Linked DNA regions of Arabidopsis thaliana. The protein of the gene in region 1 interacts with the protein of each later gene in a pairwise test. Each region holds a gene or a part of one and is shown in the gene's direction. Other genes may lie near its edges.

What was found. Proteins that work in one complex are often made in the same cells at the same time.
Region 2: the proteins of PIP2A (region 1) and PLDDELTA come close enough for resonance energy transfer, tested with the Arabidopsis thaliana proteins (one study listed by BioGRID).

Annotation. Positions count from the first base shown.
Region 1 is NC_003074.8:19,802,971-19,807,405, reverse strand, and holds PIP2A (plasma membrane intrinsic protein 2A), read left to right. Parts: upstream 1-1,675; 5' UTR 1,676-1,951; coding exon 1,952-2,258; intron 2,259-2,726; coding exon 2,727-3,022; intron 3,023-3,149; coding exon 3,150-3,290; intron 3,291-3,380; coding exon 3,381-3,500; 3' UTR 3,501-3,933; downstream 3,934-4,435. UniProt on the Arabidopsis thaliana protein: Water channel required to facilitate the transport of water across cell membrane. Probably involved in root water uptake. Its function is impaired by Hg(2+).
Region 2 is NC_003075.7:16,954,966-16,962,114, reverse strand, and holds PLDDELTA (phospholipase D delta), read left to right. Parts: upstream 1-1,944; 5' UTR 1,945-2,239; coding exon 2,240-3,181; intron 3,182-3,341; coding exon 3,342-3,491; intron 3,492-3,768; coding exon 3,769-3,963; intron 3,964-4,053; coding exon 4,054-4,359; intron 4,360-4,448; coding exon 4,449-4,517; intron 4,518-4,658; coding exon 4,659-4,806; intron 4,807-5,014; coding exon 5,015-5,163; intron 5,164-5,278; coding exon 5,279-5,428; coding exon of another isoform or gene 5,429-5,434; exon of another isoform or gene 5,435-5,567; coding exon 5,568-5,768; intron 5,769-6,044; coding exon 6,045-6,341; 3' UTR 6,342-6,597; downstream 6,598-7,149. Other genes in the region: NRPB1 (RNA polymerase II large subunit), read left to right, coding at 1-540, 654-725, 832-1,000; AT4G35785 (RNA-binding (RRM/RBD/RNP motifs) family protein), read left to right, coding at 6,988-6,990, 7,065-7,087. UniProt on the Arabidopsis thaliana protein: Hydrolyzes glycerol-phospholipids at the terminal phosphodiesteric bond to generate phosphatidic acids (PA).

The DNA of each region.
Region 1 (4,435 bases):
TCTTTTGTTTGGTTGTCACAATTTGTCATTTTTATTGGGATTTATTGTTTTGTTATATTTTCGTTTTCAGTCTAATTGTCAGCAATTTTCGCAAAAGATATGAAATTTTGGATATGAAGAGAAAATGCAAATGATTGGTGGGGACAACAAACGTGGCATTATGTGAGTGGTTGAGCGAACAAACGGCTATATGCTGAGATGGATTGGACGGTGACGATACGTTTGTCGGAGGGATCGGGTCGGTTAGTCACGCGCGCCACCCATTCACGTGTCACCTTTTGCCAACACAGACCATATGATTTTAACCTCAGTGGAATCTCGACCCACCCCACAAAACGGCACCATAACTTTACACCCTGGTTTTAGAGAGTGATATACCAACACAACAATTATGAAAAAGGGTTCGTTTAGGCTTTGGTTACTTTATGTTAGTAATATCAACTTAAATGCTAATTTGAGTTATGTGTGATAAGATATACGACGAATCAATTTACTTATCGTCAATTAAGTTTGAAATGAAAGTTTGTGAACGAAATAGTTTATGCTTCTTTAATATTGTGTCATAATTTTGAGTTCCGGCTCTAACATCTTCAAGTAGGGTTTTGTTTTATGACACCTCAAACATACTTAATAACATATGTTGGTGATAGAAAACTAGACCTTCTAGACTACAAAAATGTTTATAATGTAAGAGAATGACCATATATCTATCTATTTTGAAAACAAAGTGTTTTGACTTTGGTGAACAAGAAAAATGTTCTCTATATATACAATGAGACACTCGAATATAACCATGCATGATTAGTTGGATTTGGAGTGAAGAAACTTAGCCATGCTTCGTTGGAGCAAAATAAGGTTTTGGAGTTTTGTTATGTGTTTTCAAGAATGTAAATGCTGATTCGATAAAAAAAAAAAGTGGACGTAAGTTATTTTAAAATGATTTGGCATACAAAAACTGTGGCTTTTTAAATCTGAAAAATCGACAGGCTATGATATTATACGACAAAAAGAAGAGAGCACCATATTGATGATATAGTATATTGGGTCGGTCCTAAAGAAAATGACATTTAGGTGATGGGGGCGGCGAGGCTAAGTTAAAGTAAACAAAAAAAACCTCCATTATTTACCAGAAAAACATATAAAAATTTGATTGACATAAAAACTAATAAATTATTTCAAAGTTGTGGTTCTGATAGCTCTCCACCATCACCACTGATTGATACTTCCTATTGCTACGAGAGATAAAACTATGCAAGTTTATATGAGTGGATATAAAGTCTTGTTTTATGATATCATAAGCTAGCTAATCCCATATCATTATCATGTATTTATAGACGCATGTTCAATAGATTTGGATCAATCTTTTTGTCATGGACTTGGTGCAAACTATAACGTTAAATAGAATAAACTATTCTAATTTAGGATCTAAAATAAACTCGAATCAAATTTTAAAGAAATTTACTGGCTAACTTATTTGAATTTTTCAAATTTCAACGATTGAAAAACTCTAAGTCTGAAATTAAACTAGGGTTCTTGTCTTTACGTATTAGTAACTATGTATGATATTGATATATCAAGCAATCATTAAATAGAATTGGTTCAAAATTTATTTCAGGACAGCTAGTTCATAATCATTTTGTCAAAGCTACTTCCCTCATAATAATAATAATCATAACTCACTCGTATACTTTTATATCCAATTTTTTCATTGAAAATACAAACTTTCATTCCAAAAAAAAACCTCAATACACAAAAAACCAAAAAAACATATAACGTTGGCAAAAATACTAAAAATATTTTTTAAAAGATAAAGCAATAAAAAAGTATACAAACAAATTAACAAGAAGGAGAGCTCTCACTATAAAACAGAGCACATGTTCTTCTCACTAACCACTCCAACAGAGAAGCAAAAGAAAAAAAAGCTATTGTTTGAAAGAAGAAGAAGTTAACTATGGCAAAGGATGTGGAAGCCGTTCCCGGAGAAGGATTTCAGACAAGAGACTATCAAGATCCGCCACCAGCTCCGTTTATTGATGGAGCGGAGCTAAAGAAGTGGTCTTTCTACAGAGCAGTTATCGCAGAGTTCGTAGCCACTCTCCTCTTCTTATACATCACCGTTTTGACAGTCATCGGTTACAAGATTCAGTCCGATACTGATGCCGGTGGCGTAGATTGCGGCGGAGTTGGAATCCTCGGTATCGCTTGGGCCTTTGGTGGTATGATCTTCATCCTCGTCTACTGCACCGCCGGTATCTCTGGTATGATCCTTCTTTAATCTTGATTTTGGTTTGGTTTAGATTAAGATTATACACTTTTTGAGTATTAGAATTACAATTAAACCGAATAAGCTGAATAAGTTTTACTTATGTAAGTACAACTTGCAAACTCAAAATTTAGACAAGTAAAAATTATATGGTATGGTTTTGGTTTGTTTATTCGAAATTAATTATTTTGCAAGGAAAAATATTGCTTGGTTGACATTACTATTTAATCGGTTTAAAATCTTAGGTTTAAAAGACGAAAATGATTTGTTTATAAAACATTTAATAAGGGTCATGATCAAATCGGTTCTTATCCGAATGATATATATCTAATCTAAGCCTAGTAATTATTTTAAGCAACTGACTAACCCTGTCTTAACCAGAATTGAAACCGGTTAATTAATTGCTTGTTGTACCTTAATTCTCAAGTACTGGTAACATTGTCAACTCTTTTTGTTTCCTTAGGTGGTCACATTAACCCAGCGGTGACATTTGGGCTATTCTTGGCACGTAAAGTGTCGTTACCTAGGGCCCTATTGTACATAATCGCTCAGTGTTTGGGTGCGATTTGTGGAGTTGGTTTTGTCAAAGCCTTCCAAAGCTCTTACTACACCCGTTACGGAGGTGGAGCCAACTCTCTAGCCGATGGCTACAGCACAGGGACCGGTCTAGCCGCAGAGATCATTGGTACTTTCGTTCTTGTCTACACCGTCTTCTCTGCCACTGACCCCAAACGTAGTGCCAGAGACTCCCACGTTCCGGTGAGTCACATATGTAGTGCTATTAATCTTCAATATGGTTAACCGACTCAAAACCGGAACCAAAGCAAACCAAACCAACATTTGATTTCAATCATACTAATAAATTTGAATTTTGATGAAATAAAAGGTGTTGGCGCCACTTCCAATCGGATTTGCCGTGTTCATGGTACATTTGGCTACCATTCCCATTACCGGAACCGGAATTAACCCGGCAAGGAGTTTCGGAGCTGCCGTAATCTACAACAAGAGCAAGCCATGGGATGACCACGTAAGACCTCAACGTTTCTCCATTACATTCAACTATATTTTTCATTTTTACAAGGGAATAATGTTTTGAAATTTTGGTGATTACAAACAGTGGATATTTTGGGTTGGACCATTCATTGGAGCTGCGATAGCTGCATTCTACCACCAATTCGTTCTGAGAGCTTCAGGTTCTAAGTCTCTTGGATCATTCAGAAGTGCTGCCAACGTCTAAACACATCAAACCAGATTTCTCAAGAATAAATGAAGTTGTGATCTCTCTGTACAAATCTAAATCAGTCACTTGCAGTTTTCATTTCCCTTTCTTATATTTGTGTTTTCCACTTGCTCTTTTGTGAATTTTCCTTCGGTGTAATTGTTTTTTCTTTCGCTTTTAAACGAGTGATTGGAATTATAATCAATGAAATCAAAGAGGTTCTTATGCGTTGTGTTTACATTAATACTAGTACTAAAGTTAGTTTCCTTAGAGAATAACAACACCATGGGGCCATGTTCTTGGTCTTGTTTACGTCCTCCTCAAGATGCTCAGTGAATAAGCAGGATTTTGGAGAAACACATGTCTCTGCTTTAACGCAATCATTATCTTTCTAGAAAAGACCATTCCTTTATGTCTTCATACATCTCAGGCGGATAAAGCCTAGCGTGCACCAGCAGTAAGTTTTAGTTACTCTCTGAAACCGCCATTGTCCATTAACCCCATATGCCTCAAAGGCTCACAGAAACTGTTACATTCAAGATTCAACATACTTAGTCGTTTGTTACTTGACAATTATGAATCATATAGGAAATGCTCGAACTTGGCTGAGGATTGAGAGTCTTACCCTTCAGAATCTGCATTTTTTATGAGAACGTGAAGAGGTGTGGCCGCTCAAAATTGGCCTCTTGGTGGCCTAGCCTCAGCCTCTGAGACTGCCTACCATCCAAATCCTTTAATTACGAAAGTAAAACATGTGTTAGATGTTTGATCATTTACTGTAAGAAGTACTAATCGAATAAATTGTTATGCGAAGAAGAGAAATGATGATACTACTGCACCATTCAAAGAATTGATGGAGTTTTGAACCTCTCGGGAAGAGCTGAGTGTCACAAACCCAGTAGATCAGATTTGATATCGAGAAAGTTTCTAAAGGGACCTCATACAGTAGTAAG
Region 2 (7,149 bases), on another chromosome or scaffold:
TCCCAGTTCTCCTGGCTATAGCCCAACAAGCCCTGCTTATTCTCCTACAAGTCCTTCCTATTCTCCTACCTCTCCGAGCTACAGCCCAACGTCTCCAAGCTATAGCCCAACGTCGCCAAGCTACAGCCCGACATCTCCGAGCTACAGTCCTACTTCCCCAAGTTACAGCCCGACTTCGCCTGCTTACAGCCCGACTTCACCTGCTTACAGCCCAACTTCACCAGCATACAGCCCAACCTCTCCTTCTTACAGCCCAACTTCACCTTCTTACAGCCCAACATCGCCTTCTTACAGCCCTACTTCACCATCTTACAGCCCAACATCTCCGTCTTACAGCCCTACTTCACCCGCATATAGCCCCACATCTCCTGGCTACAGCCCTACTTCACCAAGTTACAGTCCAACATCACCAAGCTACGGTCCTACGTCTCCAAGCTACAACCCTCAGTCTGCTAAATATAGCCCATCTATAGCTTACTCTCCTAGCAATGCAAGACTATCACCAGCTAGCCCCTACAGTCCTACATCTCCCAACTACAGGTAAGTAGTAATATCTTAATTTTTACACTTTCTATGAAGCTTCTCTTATCTGTTGTGGTGATATTGTGTCATCTTCTCTAATCGTTAACTCTTATTAAAAATTTACTCTGCAGCCCGACATCTCCATCATACTCACCCACATCTCCATCTTATTCACCTTCAAGTCCAACATACAGTCCCAGCAGGTTTGACTTTTACCCGCTTGAAAATCTTGGATCTGTTGTAATGCATCCATCTCAATTGAATTCCGCAAAAAGTTTAACTGGGTTGTTGTTATTAAATCTGTCTCAGCCCATACAGCTCAGGAGCAAGCCCAGACTACAGCCCAAGCGCAGGCTACTCGCCAACACTTCCCGGTTATTCACCGTCATCAACGGGTCAGTATACCCCACATGAGGGCGATAAAAAGGACAAGACTGGAAAAAAAGATGCCAGTAAGGATGATAAAGGCAACCCTTGAAAGAGAGTGAGAATTGGCAATCCATGTTTTAGGTAACGTCTAAATCTCTTGGAACCATTGGGGTTTACAAGTCTTACTAGCTCACGAACTTAGCCACTTGGGATATCGTGTAACCCGCAGGTCATGATTTAAGAGACAGTGAAAGCTGAGAAAAGGAAGGGACCGTTTCAAAGTGATCTTCTGTGGATAACTTTGTGAACAAGGTTTTCTTAATAGATCCTTTTTTCGTGAGTTGTATATTATTCCAAACTGATCCATAAATCCATCCAATCCTCATCCCCCAAAAAGAAAATAGTATAAACATAGAAAAACGAAAACATATCAGACTTTGGGCTTTTCGTATGGTTTAGTTTTTGGCTTTTTGCTGTGTTGTTCTATTTCAGAAAGTAAACATGTGAAACGGTTCATTTGTAATCCATGAAAGGATTCTTTATGTTACTGCTGTTGCTTCATTGAGTAGATACGAATCGAGAATGCCTTTTTTCCTTGTTTCCGACAATTATCGATTGACGTGTGACCACTTTAAAAGTTTAAACAGCTCGACTTTCCAATATGGGTTTATTTCTTGTTTTATCCACACCATTAAAGAATGGTTTTTGGGATTTTTATTTATGTGATAATTAATCATTTTTCCAAATTTTATTTTGTATATAATAAATGAAGCAAATGTTGGAAAACTATCCAATGGATGTGGTGGGTTAATATCACCAGATTCGCATAGCTGGTTTTTGACTTGTCTTCTTAATTATTTGTCCAGAAAAAGAGAAGAACTCTTCACATCATCATTGTCAACTTTAGCATTATTGTATTAGCTTTTTATTTCTTTACGTCTACAAAGCTATTGGTACAACGTTCTAAAATCAAATTCGTCATCAGTAGATTTTGTAAACTAATTAAGTAAAGTTCAGTGATTAAAGAAGCTAGATGAAGAACGTGTGCAACGACTCCTCTGAGATCTACACGGAATAATGTCGTCAGTGAGCAAACAACTCCCATCACGTCGTCCCTCCACCTGTCCTCTCTTCTCCTTCCTTGCTTGTCTTTCTCTCTCAAATCATTTCACCTAAAAATAATAAATATCTTTCGTTTTCTAAAGAAAAAAAAAAAAAAAACTTTTCAAATTCATCTTTGGTTTCTGCAGCAGCAACAACAACCGAGCCCTGTTCGTTAGGGTTTTCGGTTTTTGTTAGCTTTTCTTCTTCTTCTTCTTCGTTTCCTTCCACCTGAATTGTTGTAACCATGGCGGAGAAAGTATCGGAGGACGTTATGCTTCTACACGGTGACCTCGATTTGAAAATTGTTAAGGCTAGGAGGTTACCTAACATGGATATGTTCTCAGAACATTTGCGCCGTCTCTTCACCGCCTGTAACGCCTGTGCTAGACCCACCGATACCGATGATGTCGATCCCAGAGATAAAGGCGAATTCGGTGATAAAAACATCCGTAGCCACCGTAAGGTTATCACCAGCGATCCTTACGTCACCGTCGTCGTTCCTCAAGCGACTCTAGCTCGAACACGTGTTTTGAAAAACTCACAAGAGCCTCTTTGGGACGAGAAATTCAACATTTCTATAGCGCATCCGTTTGCTTATCTCGAGTTCCAGGTCAAAGACGACGATGTTTTCGGTGCTCAAATCATTGGCACGGCTAAGATCCCGGTTCGAGACATCGCATCGGGAGAACGCATTTCTGGTTGGTTTCCTGTACTCGGTGCTTCGGGAAAACCGCCTAAGGCAGAAACTGCTATTTTCATCGATATGAAATTTACTCCGTTTGACCAGATCCATAGCTACCGATGTGGAATCGCCGGAGATCCGGAGCGTAGGGGTGTTAGACGGACTTATTTCCCTGTGAGGAAAGGAAGTCAGGTGAGGCTTTACCAGGACGCTCATGTTATGGACGGAACGTTGCCGGCGATTGGGTTAGATAACGGGAAAGTTTATGAGCATGGGAAGTGTTGGGAAGATATATGTTATGCTATATCTGAGGCTCACCATATGATTTACATTGTTGGTTGGTCTATCTTCCATAAGATTAAGCTTGTTAGGGAAACAAAAGTTCCAAGAGATAAGGATATGACGCTTGGGGAATTGCTCAAATACAAATCCCAGGAAGGTGTTCGAGTTTTGCTACTTGTATGGGATGATAAGACTTCTCATGATAAGTTTGGGATAAAAACGGTTAGTGTTTTCACAAGTTCTTTGGATTCGTATTGCTATTTTTGAGCTTTTGGATTACTAGTTGTAATGTTAATTGGAGTTTCTGGTGAGGATAATTTATGTTTTGACAGGTTATTTGGTGTTTTTGACATTAAGATGTTGTGTGACATTTATTTTGCAGCCTGGAGTTATGGGGACACATGATGAGGAGACTAGGAAGTTCTTCAAGCATTCTTCTGTGATATGCGTTTTGTCACCCCGGTATGCCAGCAGTAAGCTTGGGTTGTTCAAACAACAGGCAAGTCCTAGCTCTTCTATATATATCATGACAGTTTTTGTTTGGTATGATGTTGATATGTTTTAGCTAAGGGGGTTTAGTCCCGCATGATGAGGGTTATTGCAAAGTTGGAAATTAGTTAATGTGGATGCTTACTTTCAATTATAAGAGATGTTCTGACTCTAATCCATGTCGCACCATTGTTTCTCGATTGTTTAGTTAAAGGCTCTTTCAACATGTGGGTATCAAAATGTTATGTCAATTTCGGCTTTGGCATAGTTATTATCTTTCCAAGGGATATCTTTTTTGATATCTGATGTTTAATGGCCAGGTTGTTGGAACTCTCTTCACGCACCATCAAAAGTGTGTTCTTGTAGACACTCAGGCTGTTGGTAATAATCGCAAGGTCACCGCTTTTATTGGAGGTCTAGATCTTTGTGATGGCCGTTATGACACACCTGAGCATAGGATACTCCACGATCTTGACACTGTATTTAAGGATGATTTCCACAATCCTACATTTCCAGTAAGTTTATTATTATATACCGGCTGTTATCAAGCTTGAATCCTAATTCTTTAGTTATTACTGATACATACTCTGTTTTTACTTCCTCAGGCTGGTACCAAGGCCCCAAGACAACCTTGGCACGATTTGCACTGTAGGATAGATGGGCCTGCGGCATATGATGTTCTCATAAACTTTGAGCAGCGATGGAGAAAGGCAACACGATGGAAGGAGTTTAGCTTACGTTTAAAGGGGAAAACTCACTGGCAAGATGATGCTTTGATCCGGATAGGGCGTATATCATGGATTCTGAGTCCAGTGTTTAAATTTCTGAAGGATGGTACTTCGATAATTCCAGAGGACGATCCATGTGTTTGGGTTTCTAAAGAAGATGATCCAGAGAACTGGCATGTTCAGGTCCTTGTTGATTCCTTCCAAACTATACTTATTTCATGTTAACAAATGTTGTTGATTTGATCTAACCACGCGGTTTCTTTGACTTCTAGATATTCCGTTCTATCGACTCAGGATCCGTGAAAGGATTTCCAAAATATGAAGATGAGGCTGAGGCCCAGGTTGGTCAATCAACTTATTTGCTATTATTAATTATCTTCCTTGAAGAATCACCGTTTATTCAATGAAATTTCTCTTTATAAGCCACCACATGGTATAGAAATTGCACTACTTACAAAGTCTTCAATATAATTTAACTGCAGCATCTGGAATGTGCCAAGCGTCTTGTTGTAGATAAAAGCATCCAGACTGCATACATCCAGACAATCAGATCTGCTCAGCATTTCATATATATCGAGAATCAGTATTTCCTGGGTTCTTCTTATGCTTGGCCTTCTTATAGAGACGCAGGTGCATTTTGATCTTTGAGTACAGTTCTTAGACTAGGAAATAAAATACTCACATTGCAGACAGCATGAAGTCTAGAATTGTTCTCAGTTACTAGTTTTGTATTTGTGGCTCTATTTTCACCTCACAGTTACCTGAACTGTATTAAATAAAGCTTAGTAACTTTTTCACCCGCGGATTTTCTGATTCTGTGTTCGTCTTGTATGAGCAGGAGCTGACAATCTTATTCCTATGGAGTTGGCACTAAAGATTGTTAGCAAAATCAGAGCTAAGGAAAGATTTGCCGTATATGTTGTCATACCATTGTGGCCTGAAGGCGACCCAAAGTCTGGCCCTGTGCAAGAAATTCTATATTGGCAGGTAACTTTGTTTAGCTGAGTGTAAGATAAGTGCCAATACCAAAATAGGTTGTTCCATTTCTTTAAAAGAGAAACTTACATTCTGCTAAACATCTTCTGTTCTTTTCATTTCGTAGAGCCAAACTATGCAGATGATGTATGATGTTATAGCAAAAGAACTGAAAGCGGTGCAATCAGATGCTCATCCTCTCGATTACCTTAACTTTTACTGCCTTGGTAAACGAGAGCAGCTTCCAGATGATATGCCAGCCACCAATGGCAGTGTGGTATAATCTTCAAACTTCTAAGACTAAGAATGTTTCATTCACAAAAACTGTAGCTTACAGATAGATAAATCATACATAAAGTTTCCTGTAGTAATCAGTGGAACAATTTCTTTATGATCATTTTAACTGCATTTTTCAGGTATCAGATTCTTATAATTTCCAGCGTTTCATGATTTACGTGCACGCAAAAGGGATGATAGTAGATGATGAGTATGTACTCATGGGATCTGCTAATATCAACCAAAGATCTATGGCAGGCACCAAAGATACTGAAATCGCCATGGGCGCATACCAACCTAATCATACATGGGCTCACAAGGGAAGACACCCACGTGGCCAGGTTTGCCTTCCTCCTAACATCTTCATCATCATCATCTATATCATAACCAAACCTCAAAAGTGTCTCTATATCTACATGGGGAAAGTTTCAAATTCCTGAATCCTGGATTTAAAAACAGTAAAGAAATTTGGGATAGCATTCGATCTTGCGAAAAAAATCACGTTCTTAGATACTTGAGAGAACTTGTGTTTCTACTCCCAGATTCTTGAACCATTATATATATTGAGTCTTCGTAAGACATAAAGAGCTTGATGATATCTCTATCTATCTACACAGGTGTATGGATACAGAATGTCACTATGGGCAGAGCATTTAGGCAAAACTGGAGATGAGTTTGTGGAGCCATCAGATCTGGAATGTCTGAAGAAGGTGAACACAATCTCTGAAGAAAACTGGAAAAGATTCATAGACCCGAAATTCTCAGAGCTACAAGGTCACTTAATAAAGTATCCTCTACAAGTAGACGTTGATGGTAAAGTAAGCCCTCTTCCTGATTACGAGACCTTCCCAGATGTTGGTGGTAAGATCATTGGAGCTCATTCCATGGCTCTTCCTGACACTTTAACCACGTAATGTGAATGTTCAATGTAAATTTCAGCATTTGTTTTGGGGTTTCTTTTGATCCTGAATAATATTAGCTGAAAGTGTTGTTTGAGTTGTTGTACATTTAACTGTGTTGTTTCTTTTTTATACATTCTTTTGTGATTGTCGTCAAATATTTGTTGGGGTGCAAAATGTAGAGATCGTGAGTGAGTGAAGAGGCAAAATAATTTGAGGATATTCTATTTTTCTCGGTTTTCTTTTTCAAAATCGGATAATGATGCTGTGTAACTGCGTTCAAAACAAAATTTCTGCTTCGACTTTTAATGTTAAGATTAGATGTGCCTATCGGTTCTGTTTACCCGAACCAAACCGAAGATTCATGGACACTTAGACAGATCAAAATATTTAATTAGCGGTATTAAACCGAACCAGACCGCAGACCGGAAATATCAATCCGGGACTGATTACGATTATTGTTATTTTCTTTTGTTGTTGCAGACACCATAAGAAACGTGAGTCTTGCTACATGCAATTATTGACTCTTGTAATAGTATAAAATTTTATTGAATAATTCATCTGTAGACAAGGGGGAAAAGAAAGACTGATTTTACGCTTTATTGCTCTCACTAAAACCCTAATTCTCTCCGTCTCGATCGCGACCTCTGTTTCTTCGGCAATGGTAAGCTTCCACGACTAAGTCTCTGTGTTCTTCTTGATCTTCGAGAAATTTGAGGTAATTACTTCGTTTTGCAGGCGGATTCTCCTCAAAGAAGAAGGTTAGATTCAAGTTTCTATTGCTTCGCATTTCGGAGCTGTTATTGTTCCTAAATCGTTCTCT